2 linked regions of the Arabidopsis thaliana genome follow. The protein of the gene in region 1 purifies or fractionates together with the protein of each later gene. This does not show direct contact. Each region holds a gene or a part of one and is shown on either strand. Other genes may lie near its edges.

Evidence for each region.
Region 2: the proteins of SYP111 (region 1) and SAR1 purify together in Arabidopsis thaliana (affinity purification with western blotting, with the first as the bait; one study listed by BioGRID). This does not show direct contact.

Annotation. Positions count from the first base shown.
Region 1 is NC_003070.9:2,707,112-2,713,895, forward strand, and holds SYP111 (syntaxin of plants 111), read right to left. Parts: upstream 3,890-6,784; 5' UTR 3,699-3,889; intron 3,609-3,698; 5' UTR 3,600-3,608; coding exon 2,667-3,599; 3' UTR 2,414-2,666; downstream 1-2,413. Other genes in the region: NPQ1 (non-photochemical quenching 1), read left to right, coding at 351-566, 644-810, 1,076-1,172, 1,277-1,671, 1,763-2,276; ACHT4 (atypical CYS HIS rich thioredoxin 4), read left to right, coding at 5,948-6,184, 6,436-6,612, 6,698-6,784. UniProt on the Arabidopsis thaliana protein: Involved in cytokinesis. Acts as a cell plate-specific syntaxin, required for the fusion of vesicles at the plane of cell division.
Region 2 is NC_003071.7:14,041,268-14,048,602, forward strand, and holds SAR1 (synaptobrevin-related protein 1), read right to left. Parts: upstream 4,277-7,335; 5' UTR 4,071-4,276; coding exon 3,857-4,070; intron 3,405-3,856; coding exon 3,263-3,404; intron 3,170-3,262; coding exon 3,049-3,169; intron 2,857-3,048; coding exon 2,794-2,856; intron 2,668-2,793; coding exon 2,518-2,667; 3' UTR 2,192-2,517; downstream 1-2,191. Other genes in the region: VAMP723 (vesicle-associated membrane protein 723), read right to left, coding at 30-185, 308-352, 552-672, 759-900, 1,436-1,625; RALFL18 (ralf-like 18), read right to left, coding at 5,254-5,565; PKT3 (peroxisomal 3-ketoacyl-CoA thiolase 3), read right to left, coding at 6,547-6,656, 6,748-6,831, 7,119-7,227, 7,320-7,335. UniProt on the Arabidopsis thaliana protein: Involved in the targeting and/or fusion of transport vesicles to their target membrane.

The DNA.
Region 1 (6,784 bases):
CTTTCAGTTTTTGTTTGGTAACATCGTTTCTCTTTCTCACTAACTCTGATATCATATTATCAATTTTTCCTTTTCAACACCCAAAATCACAATCTTTCAGCTTTATTCTGTTTTTCCTTGCTTGAGAATTGTGTTCGATTCATGTCTACGAACTGAAATCACAAATTTTGCCAACGTTTTATGATTCCTGGTTCCGTATTTTTTTTTTTGTAATCAATAGTTAGCTCATTTCGAATAATCAAACTCAATTTTATTGTTCATGATTTGTTATCTGGGATAAAAGAGAGTAATGTGCTAATTATGTATACTCAGGTATTGCTTGGTGTGGGGAAGATTAGATAGTGTGAAGAATGGCAGTAGCTACACATTGTTTCACTTCACCTTGTCATGACCGTATTCGATTTTTCTCAAGTGATGATGGTATTGGTAGGCTTGGCATTACAAGAAAGAGGATCAATGGCACTTTCTTGCTCAAGATTTTACCTCCAATCCAAAGTGCTGATCTCAGAACAACTGGTGGGAGATCCTCACGTCCTTTATCTGCATTCAGGTCAGGATTCTCTAAGGTAATCAATCATACTAGTCTTGTGTTTCAATACAAAATTTGGTATTTCGATGATCTCATTGCTTTTGATCATGTCAGGGGATATTTGACATTGTGCCATTACCATCAAAGAATGAGCTGAAAGAGCTGACCGCTCCGCTGTTGCTAAAACTCGTGGGTGTTTTAGCTTGCGCGTTCCTTATTGTTCCATCTGCAGATGCAGTTGATGCACTTAAAACTTGTGCATGCTTATTGAAGGGATGCAGGTAACTTTCCTTCGTTTGGATTCTGCATATATAGTGTCCCCCCACCAAAACCGGTTTTATTTTCATTGTGATTGTGATGCTATAAGTGTTTTGAATTGTATAGCTCCATACTCTTCAATTGTTGAGAATGTTAAAGCTAGATGAAGTTACTGTGTCTGTCTATGATAGAGCTGAAATCAGTTGATGATATCTTTCTGATTTTTTTGCCGTCAATTTATATATTTCCCTCCTTGTCTGACCATATGGAAGCCCAATTATCTGTTAGGATAGAACTCGCAAAGTGCATTGCCAACCCTGCCTGTGCAGCCAATGTCGCGTGCCTTCAGACCTGCAATAACCGTCCAGATGAAACCGAGTGCCAGGTTATAATTTATTTTGATATATCATTTTATGAGGCAGAGATATTGCTTGCTTATGAAAGAAGACCAATGATTTTGTTTATAATTATGTGCTTATATTATATCAGATTAAATGTGGGGATCTGTTTGAGAACAGTGTTGTTGATGAGTTCAACGAGTGTGCTGTGTCGAGAAAAAAGTGTGTTCCTAGAAAATCTGATCTCGGAGAATTTCCTGCCCCAGACCCTTCTGTTCTTGTACAGAACTTCAACATCTCGGACTTTAACGGGAAGTGGTACATTACAAGTGGCTTGAATCCAACCTTTGATGCCTTCGACTGCCAGCTGCATGAGTTCCACACAGAAGGTGACAACAAGCTTGTTGGAAACATCTCTTGGAGAATAAAGACCCTAGACAGTGGATTCTTTACTAGGTCAGCCGTACAAAAATTCGTGCAAGATCCTAACCAACCTGGTGTTCTCTACAATCATGACAACGAGTACCTTCACTATCAAGATGACTGGTAATAACATCTTGTATCCACCCACGAGGGAGAGTCTTGATAGTGCTGCTATTCTTCTTTGGCCTAACAAGCTTTCATATGATTTTTGCAGGTATATCCTGTCATCAAAGATAGAGAATAAACCTGAAGACTATATATTTGTATACTACCGTGGGCGAAACGATGCTTGGGATGGATATGGTGGTGCAGTTGTATACACGAGAAGTTCTGTATTACCCAATAGCATTATACCAGAACTCGAAAAAGCAGCAAAAAGCATAGGCAGAGACTTCAGCACATTCATTAGAACGGATAACACATGTGGTCCTGAACCTGCGCTCGTGGAGAGAATTGAGAAGACAGTGGAAGAAGGTGAAAGGATAATCGTAAAAGAGGTTGAAGAGATAGAAGAAGAGGTAGAGAAGGAAGTGGAGAAGGTCGGTAGGACTGAGATGACCTTGTTCCAGAGATTGGCTGAAGGATTTAATGAACTGAAGCAAGACGAGGAGAATTTCGTGAGAGAGTTAAGTAAAGAAGAGATGGAGTTTTTGGATGAGATCAAAATGGAAGCAAGTGAGGTTGAAAAATTGTTTGGGAAAGCTTTGCCAATCAGGAAGGTCAGGTAGAAACAAGAACCACCATTGTTGTACAAACTATATTATACATACTGTGTTCGGTTCATATAAAGTAATATTTTTGTACACAGTCATCATCATTCCATAACAATTGGATACAGAAAACACAAGGATTAAACATCCTTTGAGCGAAACAAACAACGATTGGTAAACATAGTACCTCAAGAAGAGCTGAAAGTGTTAACAATGGGGATGACAACATTTAGAATGATCAAGAGGATTAAGTCAACTGGGTATCTTTGTAAACATTCACCATTTCATTGAAATTGGATACAAGACACGAAAGGATTAAGACATCCTTGAAGAACACAAAAGGATTAAGACATCCATTGGTACAAAGAAGAGCGAAACAAAACAAAAGGAGTGAACATAGCCAGTATCTCAAGAAGAGCTGAAACTGGTAATGATGGGGATGACAACAATGAGAATGATCAAAAGCAGCACAATGATACCAATGCACATCCATTTTCTGCTGTTTCTCTGATGACTCTTTGCAGTCTTCAGCTCATTAGCTCCATCAGCCACGTAATGGCTCGCATTAATCACATGATGCTCGATCTCGTCCATCTGTTCACCTTGCGATTCAACCATCACAGCCATATCAAGAAACACTTGGTGAAGCTCCAACAGACTCTTCTCAATCTCCTTTGCTGCATCATACCTGTCTTGAATCTCAACCACAGTTTCCAAGACCTTTCCTTTACCATGTTCCTGAATTGCTCGCGTGAGAAACTCTTCACCTCCAGCGTTATCAGTGATGATCTTCTCAATCATCTCATCATTAGCATGTTCTCCAGTGACAGTGAAGTACCTTCTCTCAACAGTCTCCTTGTACTCACTCATCATCTTTTGCCTCAGCCCCTGAAACTCCATCATCACTTCCTTAAGTTTCTTCCTCAGCCCATTAGTCACAGCGGTTCTGCTCCTATAAACCGGAGTCCCAGAGAGCCTTTTAATCTCCTTGTTGGCTTTATCCATCTCTTCCAGCTTCGACTTAATCGATTTCGCCTTCCTCAAACCAGACACAATCTCGTTAGAGATCTTGTTACGAAGAGACTTCACAGACTCTGCCTTGTGAACACCTTTACTCTCTTCATGGTACTGTTCGATCCGAGCCAGCGTCTCACTAATCAAACCCATCTCTGCTTTCACATACTCTGCTTCTTCTAAGAAAGATGACAGATTCTCATCCATCTTGTCTGCTTTCGTAGAAGCCATCTCAAGATCAAAGTCAGGTCCTGCTTCCATATCCTTCATCGCTGCTTTTTTCAAGTCAACGTAACTCATAAACGATTTCGTCATCAAGTCGTTCATCTTTTTCACCTGAAAGTCAACAATTTTACAAGAATCAGAGAGAATCGCAGTGATTGTAACAGAATCAAACAAGAGAAAATCAAAGAAAATACAACATACTCTTCTGATTAGTGTGTTCTTCTAGATCCACAAAGTTTCTGCCCAGAAAGTGAGAGAGTAGTGTGAAGTAAAGCTTACTATAGAATTTGATTAGCGATTTGTGAGATGAGAGAAAGCTTTCTTTCTAATATAAGAAAAAGGAGAAATTAGCCGTTACTGTGATTTCTTCGCCCCAACGGCTATATTTTGGCGATGTATCCGTTGTCGTCCATTTGTCTATCTGTTTCTGTTTCTTCAAATCTATTTTTAAATTCATGTGAATTTCTTTCGAAACTTTAAAATAATATAGGGACTAAATTGTAATTAGATGTATGTTTTAGTGCCGACGTGTGTGATTGAGACAGCTTTAAAGATATCGAAACTGAGAAGAAAATATAGGGACTAAATTGTAATTATGTGTATGACATCGCTTTTGTCGACAAATCATCATTGGTGACGATTTACGAAAGCAAAGAAGAGGTGTTCTTAGCTGCACATTTGTCACCATTTATACAAAAATTGTGGTTCTTGTGTTTTGTTTTTTATGTTGGAAAACTTATGGTATAGTTTCTTTTGTTACGATACACCTTAGTTGAACCATTCAAATTATTAGGATATTTTCAAATATATAATATTTTAATTCTAATTTCGTATGTAAACGACTCTCCAATAAAACATCTCCACTAGCTTGTTGGTCTCTAAACTTGAAATCAGTTTTTATTTTTCTTGTAATATTTTCAAAATTGTTTCAATATCGTAGACAAATTTTAAATAAAATGTACATCATATCTCTATAAACTTAATAATACCCAAAATTTTGACTAATCACATTAAATTCCTTATGATATTCGAATAAAAAAATAATTTAATAATATTTATTGTAGTCGCAATTCAATATTTATTCTGTAATGCTTGAAAAATGTTTTTAAAAACTGTGTCACTACATTACTATAACGTTAGTATGTACTAAATTTTGTAACGTTTCATGGTTATAAAATAGTATTAGTTTACCGACAAAAATATATAGATTACGTAACGCTTGTTTTACATTAAAACAAATTTGTTAGGATTGTTTTGTCTATTCTACATTCGTCACATTTGTTTTGTTTAAACTTTTTGTTTTCTAATTAAAAAATTATTCTGTTTTTGTAATTAAATATAGTAAATTTGTTTGCCGCCCAAAAAAATATTACATAACGCTTGTTTTACATTAAAATAAAGTTGCTTCGATTGTTTTGGCTGTTCAACTCTAGTCACATTTGTTACGTTTGTTCTACTTATTGTCGTGAATCGATCGAAAACTTGTGCAATGTGGAATTGAGGGGGTTAGATGTAAACCAAAAAACTAAAAAGGGCAATCTCCAATTATTTTGTTAAAGAGGTGGCAATTGCAAATCTCCAATAATATAAAGTTCATAAAAAAGGTTAAAGGAGAGAGTTGTGGTGGAGAGAGTGAGACCCACGTGGGTGATGTGTTGGCAAACTATCTTCCTTAAAATCCAAATCCATTTATCCATCACTACTTTTTTTTCTTTTGTTTGGTAGTAAAATCCTTCACTAGTTGATTGCAGATGACTAATAAAGTAATAATCTTTCATTTTGGTGGTTCATCGCCTAATTTGTTGTTTACTTGATTGATAAATGTTTGAGGATGAAACTGTATCATTTATTTTTCTCAAAATTGTTTGGTTCATGACCTATATAATCCATTTGTTTAATATTAATATAGGTAAATTTAAAATTCGTTACTTAAATTGGCTAAACATACTCTTCAAAATAATATATATCCACTTAACATAGTTAAAACTCTGTATTCAGATAAAAGCATGGTAAAAAACCAAACATATCCATTTAAATGTATTCAAAGTCATGAGAAAATTTCCTATACTTGTTCCTTTATATCTGCGAGAAGTCATGAACCTTATCCATTTATTAGTTTTCTTCTGACCGACTAAACCTGATAATCACTAATCCACCGTTAGATCTTAAAATTCCAAATCCAAAATGGACGGTCAAGATCACTTAACGAAAAAGAAAACAGTTTCCTGTCCAGAAATGTCTAACCTTGAGGCCTTTTTCTCTTTCCTTTAAACTTTTTTTTTTCGATTATAAATTTTCTCGTGAAGCTAATTTTTCCTGAGAAAGAAAGCGAAACTTCGCTGGCGACTAAAGATTGCTGAGAAGACACGTCGTCTCTGTGAGAACTTTTTCTTTTTCTTCTGGTATATTCTGGAGACAGATATTGTTTTTTCTTCTGATTAGAGAATAATATGACGGAAGTGATTAGCAAAACGAGTTTGTTCTTAGGAGCTTGTGGTAATCATCACCGTGTTGATGATTTCTCTTTCTCTCCGGTGAGTTTTGGTGGGTTTGGTTTGAAAAAGAGTTTCTCTTGTCTGAAGCTTAAGAGTCAGAAGCCTCTTAGAAGTGTATTTTACGGAAAACAGATCGTTTTCGGAGATTCTCAAGACGAGAGCTTCAGAAGATCATCAGCTATCACAGCTCAGGTAGACTTTAATGTTTTGTGTTTTCGTTTTTGTTTATCTGAAATATTATAATCCATTACATGCGAGATCTAATTAGAAAGATCCTGAGAGCTAATTGTTGAAAGAATAGTTTTTTAGGGTTTTGCTTTAATTTTGTTGTGAATTATTGGCTTGAAGAGTAGATTTTGGTTTAGGGTTCATGTGTTTTCAATTTGATGTGTTGGTTTTATGGATCTGTGAAAATATGATATCTGACATGTGTAAATTTGCAGACAACTTTGAGGATTGGGACAGCTCAGAAGTGGTGGGAGAAAGGTCTGAAAGATAACATGAGAGAGATCTCTTCAGCTCAAGAGCTCGTTGATTCTCTTACTAACGCTGGTGATAAGCTTGTTGTTGTTGATTTCTTCTCACCTGGCTGTGGTGGCTGCAAGGCTCTCCATCCTAAGGTATCAATCCACTTCTTGGATTGTTTGGTACAGTATTGATGAAATGAACAAGTTTTCTAACAATGATGGTTTATGATTGTTGCAGATATGTCAGTTTGCAGAGATGAACCCGGATGTGCAGTTTCTTCAGGTGAATTACGAGGAGCATAAGTCCATGTGTTATAGTCTTGGT
Region 2 (7,335 bases), on another chromosome or scaffold:
CGATAACGCCGGGAAGAAATGTTCCAGACTTATTTACCGCAGTTGAATCCCCCACAAACCGAGAGGATGATGATGAGAATCAAGGCAATGATAATTGCAAGGACAATGAGTTTTATCTTCATGTTCTGAAACCACTTCTTCCTTTTCATTTGAGTTCTTTTTATATAGAAAGCTTGCGGCTGTGACTGTGACAGTTTCGAGTTCAATTAAAAGTTGGAAACCCAAGACAACATTAGTAAGAGAGAACTGGCAACTCAAGCATATCTATGTGTATGGAACTTAGAACCATATGCCTAAGAGAACTAACCTCTGAACTACCCAGCATCTCACATATCACACCACGGGCAAGAACCTGCAAATGAATGTGTTCCACAATGTAAAAACGGTCAGCATACATGCCTATACAACCCAGAACTGGACATTCCCCTCATCAATTTAAAGGTTAAGGAACCAAAAGATCATGACACTTAACTCATACGAGCTTAACTCTACTGGAAATAGATTAAAACATAAAATTATACCATTAACAGAAAAAAGGGTCAGAATCGAACCTTCTCAATGTTTTCCATCATTAAACTTTTAACTTCAGACACTTGAGCTTTAGCTTTAGCAAGGTTGCTAATCTCATCAGGATGATCCATGCAATACTGCATGTGCTCTTTCAGATTCGACCTTTAGAGCAGCCAAAAAGGAGTCTGTCATTGACATGAATAATACAAACTTCTCAATACCAATCATATAGATCAAAAAACACATACCCAAATTCTTTATTCAAGCTATTTGCTTGATCAGTTGCAGCCTTTTCACCACCATATCTCTTATAAAAATCCTCCTTCACGCGTTCCAAGAAAGCCATAGGAATCTCCCTCCCAGCAGAATCAACTGCAACAACACAATAGGCTGCACAAACATATCCCTCATAAGAAACTTAAAAAATATAATAAAGAGTCCATATGATATGGACCATATCCAACGTCATCAAAACCCAACTAAGTTTAATTAAAACAGAGCAATATAATAAACACAATACACCAATGCAATTTACTCGAGCGATATATATCCACAAATTTCCCAAACAACTCTCATTTGAAAAACCAGCCAAATTCATGAAAACAAAAGCTACACGCAAAGAAGCCAAGAATCATAGATTCATAATAAGAATTGCATAGATGCTTAAATAGATCCACCAAACATATCACTGATTATAGATCTAACATCAATTAATTATCAAACCCAATACATAACTATTCCTGAAATTATACCAAACGGTAAACACATAAGAACTCGACTCAGATAAGTCATAGAGATATACCAAACATAAGAACTCGATTCTCAAATGCTCAATTAGGTAAAAAGAAATCTAATCCAAACAATGAATAAATCGACTAATCGAAAACACAATCACAAACACATCACGAGCAATATTTTGACTCACTGAATCCATTTTCGACGAGGTCGTTGAACGTATGACCATCGCAGTTGTAGGTAAACTTGTTGTTCGAGGAAGGAAGATTCTCAAGGTACTGAGCAGCGACAGATGTGAAATTGCCTTTGAAATCTGTGAACTCGACGAGGATTACGGTGCCGCGAGCGATGAAACTGTAGAACAACGATTGTTGCGCCATTATTTTGGTTCCTTAAAAAACGACGCGAATCTAATTCGATCTTACGGGACCGATATTAGAGATTTATATCGGCGAGCACGAAAGCTTTAGAGATCTAGAAAACTTGACGCTGAAACGCGTAGAGAATCGAAGACTAAGCCAAGTAAAACCACTGACCAAGACAACACGTTTGTCCGAACTTGCATTTGTTCTTACATGCTGCACCACAGTTTTAGTCGACAGGAAGTGGCTGATTTGCCGCAATAAGGAGATCACTTTCATTTCCTGCAAATACACATAACCGCGACATCAGCCGGAGGTGGCTCCGCAAGTCGCCTCGATTTCAGCAGTCGAAATCTTGAGCTCAGCATGGCAATCAATTCGAAGAAATTCCAAAATCTCAGAAAATCAGGCGAATGTTTCCGAAATTAGGGAAGCAGAGGAGAAAGCGTTTGAGCAAACCCTTAATGAACTAACCGGAGACTCTGGTGAATCGGTCAGACGAAACCGTGTTAATTACATATTCATCTCCATTTAATATTAACCGGCTGTGGACTATGCTTATACCTCACTGCAATCCGCAACTAGAGTCTCATCAACAGACCAAAGAAATTAGTAAATTGCCAAGAACAAGTATCGTCCAAATATTGGTTTGCAAGAATTAGTGTCAGTACCAGCAATAGCAACATTGCAGATTGTCGAACATGCATACATATATGTATAATATATATAGCCTATACAAAACAAATTTCAAGAAGTACAATCTAAGAAGAAACATATAGTATGAGAATATAGAAATCACAAAAACAAAAACAAAACAAAAAGGTAGCACAACGAACTGAATGAAGATATTCTCAGAGATCTTGGGAAGCACAGAGCGCAGTCGATAACGCCGGGAAGAAATGTTCCAGACTTATTTACCGCAGTTGAATCCCCCACAAATTGAGAGGATGATGATGAGAATCAAGGCAATGATAATTGCAAGGACAATGAGCTTTATCTTCATGTTCTGAAACCACATCTTTCTTCTCATTTGAGTTCCTTGTGTTCTAAAATCTTGCGCCTGTGATAAAGTCGAGTTCAAATTTAAAGTTAGAAACCCAAGAAACAACAATCAGTAAGAGAAAGCTGCAAACTCTTGCATGTCTCTGTGTGGGTCTATTGACTTTGAACCATTTAGAAAACAAACCTGTGAGCGAAGGTTTTCTGTTTTGTCAACCAAAAGCTCAATCTTCTCACCACGGTCAAGAACCTGCAAACGAATGCATAAACGAGTTAACAACAGAATATGTCTTCACAACCGAGAATAAAACATTCCTCTCTACAGTTTATGCTTTACGAATCATAAGATCCTGGTACTAAAGTCATACAAGCTGAACTCTGTTCGAAAAGGTTTACAACATAAAACTATATCGATAAAAAGAAAAAAGGGTCAGAATCAAACCTTCTCAATGTTTTCCATCATAACACCTTTAACTTCAGACACTTGAGCTTTAACCTTAGCAAGCTTGCTAATCTCATCAGGATGATCCATGCAATACTGCATATGCTCTTTCAGTTTCGACCTTTAGAGAAGCCAAAAAGAAGTCCATCAATAACTATGCCCATGAATCATAGACCCTTTTCAATACCAATCAAAGAGATCAAAAAACACATACCCAAATTCTTTATTCAAGCTGTTTGCTTGAGCAGTTGCAGCCTTTCCACCACCATATCTCTTGTTGAAATCCTCCTTAACTCGTTCCAAGAAAGCCATAGGAATCTGCCTCCCAGCAGAATCAACTGCAACAACACAATAGGCTGCACAAACGAAAACAAAACCGGTCCATTTTAAACTCTATATTAAGAGATAAAGCAATAGATTCATCAATATATCGCTGATAAGAAAGTTAACACTATCATAAAGAGACCATATCCGCCATCAACATCACCCAAAACCCAATTAGGTTTAGTAAAACAGAGTTACATAAAGAACACAATACACTAATGCCAAAAACTTCATGATATCGAAAGCTACACGCAAATAAGCAAAGAATCAATAGATCCAGAACAAAAATTGCAAATATTCATTGATAGATCCACCAAAAATATCACTGATTACCATAGATCTAACATCAATTAATTATCAACGCCAATACATAATTATTACTGGAAACTATACCAAACATAAGAACTCGATTCATATTTCTCAATTAGGCAAAAAATCTAATTCAAACAATGGATAAATCAAAACACAAACAAGCTACGCTTACAGATCGAGCAATATTTTGACTCACTGAATCCATTTTCGACGAGGTAATTGAACGTGTGACCATCGCAGTTGTAGGTAAACTTGTTGTTAGAAGAAGGAAGCTTCTGAAGGCACTGAGCAGCGATTGATGTGAAATTGCCTTTGAAATCTGTGAACTCAACGAGGATAACGGTACCACGAGCGACGAAACTGTAGATCAACGATTGTTGCGCCATTTTTTTTACTCAAAAACGACGCGAATCCGATTTTACGGGACCGATCTCAGAGATTTATATTGGCGAGCACGAAGGCTTTAGAGATCTAGAAGACTTGACGCTGAAACGCGTAGAGAATCGAGGACTAAAAGAGAATACGGTGAAAAAGAAAAGTGTAGGAGAAATCTTAACGTAGTTGAAGAAGAAAAATCAAACCCTTGAGTTTTAGAGGGCAAAAAAGTTATATTTCAGAAAGATTTATGCAGATTGTGCAAATTGAAACAATCTTGAACTTGAGGACCTAAAAGCAAATTCAAATAATCAACTTGTGGGGTTTTAAAAAGTTGGTGATGTTGGTGTAATGGTATTTTGTTATTTGATAGTTTCAACGTATTTTTATCAGCGAAAATGAATTTGGATAAGCTAGTTTGAACTTTGACCTTTGAATAATTGGTTCCTATATTATCTAAATCTACTATTAAAATTTAAAACTTAAAAGTCATCAAAGATTATTACATGTGGTTGGATAATAATTTTATAAATTGTCTTTTTTGGGGTATTTGTAGAAAATTTGGCATATTTGGGGTTTTGGTGTAATCTAAATTAAATGACTAAATAAGAATATTTTCAAAGTTATAGGAAAGTTCAATGGTCTAGTCACCATAATAAATGATAATCTACAATTCTACATGCATCCCATGTCCGCTCCTATTAATTCAAATCTATTTTTTTCTTGATTTAATTGTACTTAGAGGTTGCTTACTATTGTAATATATATACCTGAATTTCACGTGTACACTTCTAAAGTGTATCTTATATTTACAACAAGACTATATTTTGTATTTAAAGTTGAAATTGGTAGGTGTGAATGTGTGATAGTTTTGGAGGAATGGTTTGGAAATATATCGATCGTTTAAATAAAATAAAACAAGAATATGGTGCGAGAGAAGGGATCAATTTGTTTGAACTTGACCGCAAAAATACTTTACGATGAGATCAATTTTCACTCGTCAATCATTTGGTGAGAAAAGGATGACAATTTCTAAACGAAGTTTATTCTAACTCTCTAGGAGATAATGCCTCAAAGGCTTACAAATTGCAATAAAATATAATAATAAGAAATGTGATTGGAAATACTAATTAAAAATAAAATAAAACACACCAACGAAAGGAAGAAGAAGAAGAAGAGAGAGGTGGTTTATGTTTAATTTGTAAAGCGGTAACATCCTGTAGCGGCACTGCAACCACGTCGGTATTTGTTATCCGGTTTATCCGGTTTACCATCTGGTTTGGCTGGTAAGTTTTTCTTCAATGCTTCGTAATCTATAAATCTCTTAGCTTGAAGTATCCTATGGCTCACATCTACACCTGAACTCATCTTCATGATCTCTTCTTTTTCTCCACCGTCCATGCAATTGTCACATTTTACCGGACGAGATCCGACCACAAGCGCTGGAAGCAAAGCTGCCGAGATGATCATCACAGCGATGATCAAGAGCTTCATGTTATTCATCATCGAGACTTATCAAGAGAGTGTAAAGTTGAGAGTAGTAGTTGTTGTTTCGTTTACGTTGAAATGGTTTGTGATGAAACACTTGGTTAATCTACACTTTTATAGAGGTTAATTTTTTTTGTAGAGGTTCATCGAATATTTGACCAGATTCTTACTCGAAAAAGAAAATCAAAATTACTCCGTCAAATTCATGGAATAAGAAATGAATACGGTGCCCAAAAAAGATGAACCTACACAAATAAATGATTCAGTGGATTTGTTTTGCTCTGTATAGTGATCAAAGTCGGTCAATTCGCATAATTAATTGGTCAAAGCCTCAATAATGATTTCCATATATGATAACATTGATGGCTCGTTTTTAACACAAAACTGAGGGGATGCATTGGAACATGATTATAACGTCTTATACTGCCGTTATAACGTCTCCGGTATCAAAGACAAGATACTATAACGAAAAGAAAAAAAAATACTAGAAGGAACGTTATATAAATAGCTATGAGAAAATAAAATTATGGGGTGAGAGAGGCTCGAACTCTCGACCTCAGGATCACTCAGTAGCTATGAGACCTACGCGCTAGCCAACTGCGCCACCACCCCAACTGTTACTATTAACACTGTTTTAGTTAATGAAATTCAAGGTAAAATCATGAAACACAAACAAAAGGCAGAACCCTTGACTTTATGAACGTTTGACTTATCCATCGAAATATAGAAATGGCTGCCACCCAAAAAATCTAAAATTTCTAGAAGCAACAACTGATGAAATTCGAGAAGAACAATATTCTTACATATAAAAGATTTAAAGATTATCCCCCTTCACTTAAAAAAAATACTAAACACATGACCTGGTCAAGAACAACACAAGACTCAGGCAAACATTGGTTGTGTGCTTTATTCGAAACTATAATAATATCTGAAGAAAGTGACAAGAAGACCAGAAAAGAGAGAGGTGAGGTGAAAAACGGTTTTGGTGCATGGTCCTCTCTAGCGAGCGTCCTTGGACAAAAGACCTTGCGCTTCAACTTTCCTTGCGTTGCGAAGCTCATCAACTCCATCTCCTCTCTCAAACACAGCTGCTGCACCCATCCCCGTCCCTGCCAGAGTTTACCAAATCAGTAAAACCATCCCTCAGACACATATTTCAGACACCAAATTCACAATGAATTATTCGAGTGAGAAGCATACCAATGCACATTGACACTACTCCAAAACGGCAGTCTTTACCACGGCGTTTCATCTCGTGCAACAATGTAGCAACACAACGCGCTCCTGTGAGAGTTTTAACAAGTATTAGCAACTGTTCATGAGCGTTTTATAATTATATAGACACAATGTAGACATTGATATGCTTTGAAAAGGACGGACTGCGGCAAGATAGAGCTCTTGTAAGTTGGTTAAAGAACCATTAGTGAGGACAGAGTTTATAAAGATATATCTCGGCTGTGGATTTCTTAAGGTTTGGTTGAGAGTTGAGAGATTCTCATTAATTCAAGTCTCTATGGTTTGGTAAATTGGAACAAGCTTAACAGTTTTAGTCCTGTTCTTAACAGATATACCTGTAGCGCCCAAAGGATGGCCTATGGCCATTGCACCTCCGTTGACATTGATTTTCTCTGGGTCAAGTCCCAATTTGTTACGGCAATAAACAAACTGAGATGCAAATGCCTGAACACACAAGGATTCAAACAGATGGTCATCATCAGAATGTGCGGGAAGAGATATGTGATAAGAAGATCATGAAATTGTTTGCTATATACCTCATTGATCTCAAAC